2 linked regions of the Schizosaccharomyces pombe genome follow. The protein of the gene in region 1 interacts with the protein of each later gene in a biochemical or structural test. Each region holds a gene or a part of one and is shown in the gene's direction. Other genes may lie near its edges. The genes, in order: nse2 and smc5.

The links.
Region 2: the proteins of nse2 (region 1) and smc5 form a complex in vitro, tested with the Schizosaccharomyces pombe proteins (2 studies listed by BioGRID).

What each region holds. Positions count from the first base shown.
Region 1 is NC_003424.3:3,088,678-3,092,728, reverse strand, and holds nse2 (Smc5-6 complex non-SMC SUMO ligase subunit Nse2), read left to right. Parts: upstream 1-2,000; 5' UTR 2,001-2,031; coding exon 2,032-2,196; exon of another isoform or gene 2,197-2,443; coding exon 2,444-2,566; exon of another isoform or gene 2,567-2,681; coding exon 2,682-3,146; 3' UTR 3,147-3,235; downstream 3,236-4,051. Other genes in the region: taz1 (telomere length regulator), read left to right, coding at 1-1,492; DASH complex subunit Dad1, read left to right, coding at 3,404-3,676.
Region 2 is NC_003424.3:5,225,396-5,231,643, reverse strand, and holds smc5 (Smc5-6 complex SMC P-loop ATPase subunit Smc5), read left to right. Parts: upstream 1-1,850; 5' UTR 1,851-1,890; coding exon 1,891-1,943; intron 1,944-2,011; coding exon 2,012-2,177; intron 2,178-2,226; coding exon 2,227-5,238; 3' UTR 5,239-5,465; downstream 5,466-6,248. Other genes in the region: mek1 (meiosis-specific serine/threonine protein kinase), read right to left, coding at 1-307, 348-504; DASH complex subunit Dad3, read right to left, coding at 1,521-1,703, 1,741-1,818; mitophagy receptor Atg43, read left to right, coding at 5,673-6,248. UniProt on the Schizosaccharomyces pombe protein: Acts in a DNA repair pathway for removal of UV-induced DNA damage that is distinct from classical nucleotide excision repair and in repair of ionizing radiation damage.

The sequences.
Region 1 (4,051 bases):
TAACCCTGAGAGCTTCTCAGAACGTCTAGGGAAGGAAACTGTAAAAGATCTTTATGAATTTAACGAACAACTCACTACCAAATATGGACTGGAGTTTCGCACTATATTTTTCTCCTATATACGAAAATATGATGCTTATTGGTGTTTATTTGAAGACTTGGAAAAACCTTTAAAATCTATTCAATTTTTTACAGGCTTGATTGATCTCCTAGATAATACCAACAAACACCTTACTTTGAGATCTATAGTACTAGACGCACTTTTATCTGCTGATGAAGAAGACTCTTTTTATGGAGATGCCTTGGTTCTATTTGAGGAATTGGTGATTAGATACTTTGGTACCGATTCAAATCCTTCTATTGACGCAAGTGAATTTATTTTGTCATGTCTTCCTTATACATCTTTAGATGCCTTAAACGTAGTTTGTGGGCAAGTATGGAAAAGCCAAAAGATTTGTGACTTTCTAAAATCTACGATTGGTAATACTTCTAATTCTCCTCTACAGCTACGGGCCTCGTTTCCAGCGTTTGTCAATGCAGTCATACATTTTTTACTAGAATTTAAAAACGTCCGTCGCTTAGAAAGAAAGGACCTTAGCGTGAAAGGGATGCTGTACGACTCTGATAGCCAACAGATCTTAAACAGGCTTCGTGAGCGAGTTTCTGGTTCGACCGCACAGTCAGCAGACGAAGCCAGTGGTCATGAGAGTGACGCGTCCGAGGATACTTTTTCTGAAAGAACCCTAGGTTTGAACTCAATAGATAATACGGAAATATCAGAAGTGGTATCCTTAGGTTTAGTTTCATCTGCTCTTGATAAAATCACTGGCTTATTGAGTGCTGATAATTTATCAGAAACGGTTTCTCAAGCCAGAGATTTCTCCCATACCCTATCAAAGTCTCTAAAAAGCAGAGCTAAGTCCCTTTCTCAAAAGGAAGCTGCAAACCGCAGTAAGCTGATTGCGAAGAGGGGTGATAATCTGAGAAGAGAAGCTTCTTTGAGTAGTGAACAGGATGATTTAAGTGAAGATTTTCCGCCTGTACGTGAATCAGACGAGCAAGAATCTCGATCTGGTGGTAGAAGTTCGGCAATGAGAGTGTCCATTGAAAGATCTGCTGCTCGTTCGGGTACACGCAGGTCGCAAGGAAACCCATATGAAGGATATCGAACTCGTAGAAAATGGACAGATGAAGAGGAGAATGAGCTTTACGAAATGATTTCTCAGCATGGCTGTTGTTGGTCTAAAATCATTCACATACAGAAACTTGAAAATGGTCCGTTAAAAACTTTTGGACCAACACAGATAAAAGACAAGGCCAGACTTATCAAAGCAAGGTTTATGAAGCAGAATCGTCTTCAAGAATTATATTCAAAGTCATTAAATTGGAAAAATGTTACTGTGGGCCAGGCCTATTGTGAACTTCATAAAATACCTTACATAGAGGCAACTCCGCCACTTTTACGGGAAGAGCTTGTTAATTATCAATCTTAATTTTTCGTCTCCGGATAGAGTTTGTTCATGATTGCTTTTTTAATGAATAATATTGACAAGACTCGGATAGTTTTGTTAATCGTGTTTTACTTTACTACTAATCTATGGAATATTTTGAAAATAACATAATTTAATTTATACATTTCACGGCCTTAATCATCCTTTATTGGTTTATCATATTGAATAGTTGGTTTAGTAATAGAGGTACTAAAAGTCAAGCGTTAATTGTCCGAAGTATGCATTATAAATTCTAATTCCAAATGAGAATATTTCATAACCCATTCATTTGTATTAAACGTGACAGTAAATAAGAATTTATTTAGTCTTTATACATATGCCATCAATCTTCATAAAAACGTACTGGAGTTTAAATTTTAAAACGTGGTTATTACCCTTGCTTAAAAAACATTCTTTTTTTATTTAAGGAAATAAGTGTTGTGGCATTTAGTTTTCATATGCAATTAATAGGTTTTCAATCCCAAATTGCGTTGTCTACTAATTAAACGTCGTAACTACTTCTTTCTCGAATGGAATCGTAAATGAGTGAAGCACAATTAAAAACTTCCTTGGAGGCTTTAAGTCAAAATTTATTACCTGGAAACCAAAATCATTGCAGTTTCGACTTCCAATTGAAGGAAATTGACGATTCAATTAAACAGGTGATAAAATGTGCTCTAGTTGCTGCTGAGATAAAAAATAATGAGGTATGTGTACCATTATTACGAAAGATAATGGAAAAAATTAATATGAATTGCTTTTAAAACTCGAAAGTGGTGTTATGTCGAGATACAGTTTTTTAAAAAGAAGTTCGCTGTACAAATATACATACAAAAACATTGTTTAACTAATATTTTTCTTCCTCTTATTTCCGGCTATTGAGAGAGAGCCTAAAATAGACATAATATGACATGCTGCTTACTTTATGACTTCTGACTAACACTTGCCTTTTAGTGTTTGGACATGCTTGATAGCGGGATCCGAGAGCTGTTGGATGCAAAGCAGAGATTGTTATTGATGCAGCAATCGGTGGATACATTGGCTAACAAAACCAGTGAAAATATAAGTGATTTTGAAGTACGTACCACGGAAATGACTTTCCTACTTTTTCTATTATATGTAGATGAAGTAAAAACATCAATTTAGACGTATTTTTTTACTGTTTCATATTCAATTGTTCTAACAAAATTAGAATAAAAGTTTGTTGGATATTTATACACAAATTTTTAAGGAACTCATTCAAGAATACGAAGAAAAATCCGACTATGGTAAATATGGCACACAAGGAGAATACATTGAATTTAAAAAAACCATATGGCATGAGCAAAATACAGACGGTTCTGACTTTCCTTCTATGAAAACATTTTTTAATGTCATGAACACTGAAGAACAGGAAGCAGATGAAGTGATGGTATATTCAGCTACCTTTGATAACAGATGCCCTTTAACTTTACAACCAATTGTTCACCCAATATTATCGACAGCCTGTAATCATTTTTATGAAAAAGATGCTATTTTGTCTCTGTTAAATCCAACTTGTGTATGCCCTGTTGTAGGATGTGAAGCTCGTTTACAAAGGTCTTTACTTAAGGAAGATGAGATTCTTGAACGCAGATTACGCCGCGCTCAGGAAATAAGTAATTTAAAAGAAGCTTAGTCCTTTTCTATTTACATTGTAGTACTGATCCGGATTTATTATTATTATTATTATTATTATATTTAATGTATTTGTTTATTCCAACTTGTAAATATGCATAACATGTCTCTTTTGACTAATATTCTATGCTCGTACGGAAGCTTCAATTTTGGCATTTAATTATGAAGATAGTTAAATCTAATATAAGATCTACTTGATTGTAACCTTATGATAAACTTTGGCTCATGCTTGACTTTGACACTAGCCATTAACATACCATGTCCTCAGAAAATATGGATATTACTGAAAACATACAAAATGAGCAAAATAAAGATTTTGATGATATAGATTTTGAAAGAAGGCGTCGTCTTTTGACCTTACAAATTTCAAAAAGTATGAATGAAGTTGTGAATCTTATGTCAGCTCTAAATAAAAATCTTGAAAGCATTAACGGTGTTGGAAAGGAATTTGAAAATGTCGCGTCTCTTTGGAAGGAGTTTCAAAATTCAGTGTTACAGAAGAAAGATCGTGAAATGCTAGATGCACCTTGATGGTCGTTCTTTTCTAAATGTATTTTCATTGCCGCTAAACATATGCCTTAACGCAGTTTGTTTCAAAGAATTTGCATATTAAATTAAATTATTAGTTATTATATGTTTTTTATGAATCTATAAATTTAATAGCGTCCTCAAAAATTGGTCAAAGGTCAGGATTCTTTTAAATTAACTTACATATTACAATACACAAACCTTAAGTCACTTCATTAATAATGTGTTTGTATATATATATTAGTTTTTAATCTTCCTATATTCTTCTAAAAGCTGCCAATTTTTAAATAAGCCGTTCATCGTCTGAGAGGCAGAACAACTGTTGATGTTAATATTTGCATAGTAAACTTTTTCTTTACTACTATACGAATCCTTTTA
Region 2 (6,248 bases), 2.1 Mb from region 1:
GCATACTCGTGATGAAAATCATTATCAGTAGTGTATTTCTGCTGGAAAAGAAAGGAAGCGCAGTGCCGAACATCGAGTATATCTCCATCCGATAAAAGGACGCTATTGCCTTTACCAATTAAACGATGATTTAAGAATGTTCCATTAGAGCTCTGATCTTCACAATAAACAAGGGGATCCATATCATCATCGATTAGCACCGAATACACTCTAAAGTGCTTATAACTGGCAGTGAATTGCAGAAGCTGATAATTGCATGTATTACTCCTTCCAACAGAAACGTCTTCATATTTCTTAACATTCAGTACTAATATATGTCAAAAATCAATTGAAACAAGAGAACACACCTGTTTGTGGAGAAGATGATGAAAAAACAAACAATCGAGCGAGAACATCATCTTCAGTATATTGAGGATCCATAGTACTTTCGTCTATTTGACTCAATTCACAAAGAATTTGCGTTGATTCAGATCGACTAAGCATGGCATGTGATAAAAAGTCCATAGTTCTTGCTTTTTTTTATATACACTTTGCAAAACGGTGATGCGCGTAAGCAATAAATATATATATACTTTGTAAGACGCGCCTATCAAAACGTAAAAGCAGTGTCTATAACGGTATAAAGACAATACCCATTATTATTACGTTATACCACTATAAACCAAAGTCATTTGGTAATGCCAAAACATACACTTGCCAATATTTTGAAGGATTGGGCTTGACACTATTAAGTATATTAATAAAATATGAACCTCATTGCTTATCAAATATAGTAAATTATGAGAATCCATATTAGTACAAACAGAAGAAACTTTGGATTTCAATCTCGAAGAGAGTTGCTGGCATTTAAATGATTTTTAGTCAAATGCAAGCAGAAGAAAATTTCTCGCTGTATTCACTTTAATGATCCGAGGACAAAAACGAGTCCCAATTGTAAGTTGCTCTTCATAACGAAGAAATTTGAGTATGAATAACCATTACGGTTAGAAAAAAACAAGGAAGGAAACTTATTATTTGATTAAGAAATCAACAGCTTACAACATTGCAGATTCTCATGCAACCCCATTTTCATAACGCTTTTAGGAAAGCTTGAAAACACTTTCGAATCCAGCATGATCTAATAAAATGTTAACAGGCAATTAATCGGAAGATTCATTAGGTCAGTGTTTCCGGGGTAATAGTTTAGAAATATTTAAGGCCGGACTACTTCCAAAGGGTTGTTTTGGATAATTGATTAAAAGTGATCTAACCAACTTTTTAAAAACAATACCCATATTCGTTTCTTGGACATTTTAGCCGAAAAGTGCTTTTTAAAAACCTTCATAAGCTTATATCTTGTGCCTGTTTTTACTCTTCCAAGTAGGATGTATTTTTTTCTCTGTAAAAGTGATTGAAAAATTATCCGGTAAATATTCAGTTCCAAATATTCATAGTAAACCACACGAAAAGCACCAACAGTAGAGTTAAAGCTTAATTTATAGTTCGGTTTGACGTATTTTCAATTTCAAACAAGCACGTTATCAACTTTCATCTTGAAACATGCCGCTTTTACCTTCTTGGTTATTTTCTAGGTCTGCCAAAATCGCCCAAACACTAGCTTTGTAAAGAGTATATACAAGTCCAACCTCCTTTTCTAAATCCCTTAGCGAGTCCAGAATATTGTTGCTGGGATTATAAACCATGTCCTGTAACACCTTAACAAGCTAAATATTAACCAACTGCTGAATAAAAAAGACTTACTGTTTCTAAATTTGATGCAAGATTAGCATATTCAGCTAAAATTTGATTCTGGAGAGCTCTTTTTTCCTCTAAACTCATTGTACCTTGCCTTGCATAAGCACTTTGCTCTCAGCAAACTCCTAGTTGACTGAAATCCTCCTTACTTCCACCATGGATGGCCTTAGGCCTTCGAAACGAAGAAAAAGTAATCCTTTGTATTCAGAGTAAGTTATAGCTTTTTTCTATTTAGTATTTCTGCTTTTTATACTTCGATGATCTTAACACGCGAGAGTTACGCGTTAGGAAGTATTGTACGAATTAAATTAGTGAACTTTGTTACATACGATTATTGTGAACTGTTCCCTGGTCCATATCTAAATTTGATTATCGGTCCAAATGGGACAGGTAAGAGCACAATTGTTTCAGCAATATGCATTGGGCTGGGATGGCCCCCAAAAGTAAGTCTTTCAATATTATAAAAAATAACTTAATTGATTAACGATTTAGCTACTTGGGAGAGCTAAAGAGGCCCGTGAATTTATAAAGTATGGCAAAAACACTGCAACCATAGAAATTGAAATGAAGTATCGTGACGATGAAACGGTTACTATCACGAGACAAATAAGCCAGGATAAGAGTAGTTCTTTCTCTATTAATAGGGAAGCATGTGCCACTTCTTCAATAACGTCTCTAATGGATACTTTCAATGTACAATTGAATAATCTTTGTCATTTTTTACCACAAGACCGTGTTGCAGAATTCGCTCAGCTTGATCCTTATTCTAGACTGATGGAAACTGAGCGTGCAATTGACCATGAAGGGTTACTTCCCGCACATGAGAAGCTTATTGATTTACGAAAACGAGAAAGGGAAATTTTACAAAATAAAAACCAAGGACAATCAACATTAAATTCATTAAAAGATAGACAACAGGCACTAGAGAAGGAAGTCAATATATTTAAAGAACGGGAAAAAATCAAATCATACATCGAAATGCTAGGGTTAGCTAAAATGTTAGTTATATACAGAGAGAAAACCAATGTCTTTAACCAACTTCGTGCAGACAAAAAAAAATTAAAAAAGGATTTGAAAGACCTAGTGGAAGAATTTCAACCTATTTTGGATAAAGGTGAAGAGCTGCGTTCGGATTTAAAACTAAAAGATGATACATTTAACGATTACTCCTCCGCTTCGATGGAACTTAATACCTCAAATTTAAGAGCCAGAGCTTCTTTTTCGAATTTCATGGAGAACGAGAAAAAGCTTTATGAGAAGGTTAATACCAATCGAACACTTTTACGGAATGCAAATCTTACATTAAATGAAGCACAACAATCGGTGAAGTCATTAACAGAAAGACAAGGCCCAAGACCTTCGGATAACGGTGTTCAAGATCTACAAGAAAAGATGCAAGAAGTTAATGCGGAAAAACTTCAACATGAAAACGAGAAACTTGAGAGCTCTCATGAACTAGGTAGTATCAGAACATTGAAAGCACAAAAGCTTATTGACCTTGATAACATTAAAAGAGAGTTGTCCTACTACAACGATGCTACGAAAAGGAAACTAGACTTTATGTCTTCTGCTCCAGGCTGGGAAGATGCTTATCAGACGTATCAGTTATTGAAGGAATACGAATCTGCGTTTGAAGCACCCGCATACGGCCCAATTTATATGAATTTGAAATGTAAGGAAAAAGGGTTTGCAGCTTTGATAGAAGGGTTTTTTCGCACGGATACGTTTCGAACATTTATAATGTCAAATTATAATGATTATCTAAAGTTAATGGATCTTATCACTTCAAAAACTAAGTACACTCCTACTATAAGAGAATTCTCCAGTGAACGAAAAAAGAAGATAGAAGATTTTGAACCTCCATGCTCTCGTGAGAAGCTTCAGTCTTTCGGGTTTGACGGATATGTGATCGATTTTTTAGAGGGGCCAGAAGTGGTTTTGGTTGCTTTGTGCCATATGTTAAAAATTCATCAAATTCCGATTGCAAAAAGGGAACTACCTCCCGCATCAGTGAATGCGTTAAACAATTTTCGTCTGGCTAACGGGGATCCAGTTCTTAAAACTTACTTGGCGGGCTCATCTATCCACTTGGTTTTTCGTTCAGCTTACGGTGATAGAGAAATTACTAGGCGAACAGACCCATTACCTTCTCGCAGTATATATTTTTCCGAGAACGTTGAGATGGATTTGGTAAAGCGAAAGGAGGAGCAACTAAATGCTCAACTCTCTCAATTGGAAAATTTACAGAATGAGGAAAGAAAGTTACAAGAAAAGGTAAATGAGCACGAATCGCTGCTTTCTCGTACAAACGATATATTATCTACTCTACGAAAAGAGCGTGACGAAAAATTAATTCCTATTCACGAATGGCAACAATTACAAGAAAGAATAGAACACCAAACTCTTCTACTAAGACAAAGAGAGAAAGTTCCTGAGCAATTTGCAGCTGAAATTGAAAAAAATGAAGATATCAGGAAAGAGAACTTCGAAGCTCTTATGAATTCGGTGTTAAAAGTTAAGGAGAATTCAATTAAAGCTACGAATAATTTCGAGAAGATGTTGGGAAGTAGACTTAATGTCATAGAAGCGAAATACAAACTTGAAAAACACGAGATGGATGCCAACCAAGTCAACGCTCGATTGACAGAAGTACAAGATCGTCTTAAAGATATTACCGATAAGTTAGCCTCAGCAAGGGAGGATGCTATGTCCTTGTACGGTTCAGTGGTTGATTCATTGCAGACACAATCATCTGACAGACAAACGGCAATAACTGAATTAAATGAAGAATTTGCTACTAGTTCGGAAGTGGATAACAAAATTAGCATCGAAGAAACGAAACTGAAGTTTATGAATGTTAATAGTTACGTTATGGAACAATATGATGCGCGTAAAAAAGAAATTGAGGAACTAGAATCGAAAATGTCAGACTTTGATCAATCCGTTGAAGAGCTCCAAGACGAGATGAACTCAATCAAAGAGGATTGGGTTAGTAAGTTAGAGGAGAATGTTCAATGTATTAGCGATAGATTTTCTAAAGGAATGAGTGGAATGGGATATGCTGGAGAAGTTCGACTAGGGAAATCCGACGATTATGATAAATGGTATATCGATATTTTAGTACAATTTCGAGAGGAAGAAGGACTTCAAAAACTTACGGGTCAACGACAATCTGGTGGAGAACGTTCTGTATCTACTATAATGTATTTATTATCTTTACAAGGTTTGGCAATTGCTCCGTTTCGAATAGTTGATGAAATAAATCAAGGAATGGATCCTCGAAATGAACGAGTTGTGCATAGGCATATCGTCAATTCAGTGTGTGACAACGCTGTTTCACAATACTTCTTAGTCACTCCAAAGTTATTACCAGATTTGACATACCATCGAAATTTGAAAGTGCTATGTATTTGTAATGGTGCTTGGTTACCAGCAACTTTTAGAACATCCCTTTCTACCTATTTTGAAAAGTTAAAGAAGTCCGCACTCATTTCTTCGTCATAAATGCTACATTACCATATTTGTCTTGTTGGCATACTTTTTCTTAATTTTTGATATTTGTTTTGTCCGATGGTGTTTTGTTTACTAAAGAATTTATTTTATGAGTTTTAAAATTTTGCATACGAAGTTACCCGTTAGTCATTTCGTTCCTTAGAGTCACCGAAAATTTGACCGTTAGATTTAATAAATTAATAATATCATTATCTTTAATTATTGCTTTCAGCATCCTGACATTTAAAATGTTATATCTTTATTGCTTAACTTATTCAAAAGATACATGTGCCCTTAACGTAGTTTTGTGTAATACAATTATCGCGCAACACCGTAGATGTGGCGCTATCGGGAATCCATATTAACGTAAACAACAAAGAATTGGGATCATTCTTGTGCTTACCCATTTCTGTTCATTAGACATTGATTTTAGAGAAGCTTTATTAATGTCTTCTGAAAGCAAAGGAATACCAATTCCCCGCTCTGATTCTAACAAAACCAGCGACGTTAGTTCGTGGGAAGAAGATTACGAATTGATCAGCTTAGGCTCCAGTCAAGACGCTTTGCAAAGATCAGGCATTCGAAGTGCTCATGGAGATTCAGGATACGCGTCTTCTCCACTGCGAATGGAACATTTGAGTTCATCCACTATAATTATCAATAATCAACTAAAGAAGATAGACGTGAACGAAAGTATTCCTGAGAACTCAACGTTGCATAACAAGTATGAACTTGGTGCTGTAGAGAGCTCAACAAGTTCTCTTAGTTTGCTCCAGAGTAAAGAAGAAGATGATAGCAGTAATTGGGAAACTGAGGATTCAGAATCTGCCGTCGAAGAGGCAGAGCTTCCCACTATATTCGAGGGAAAAACAGTGATATCTCCTAGTAGCTCTGGTACGGATCACAGTGAAGCTGTCGAATATACTGTTCCTACAGCTCCCCCAATACCGGACTTGCGATTCCAACAGTCATATCTCCAATCTATTCAGCGTGCAAATGGGTCTGCCTTTTTAGTTGCATTA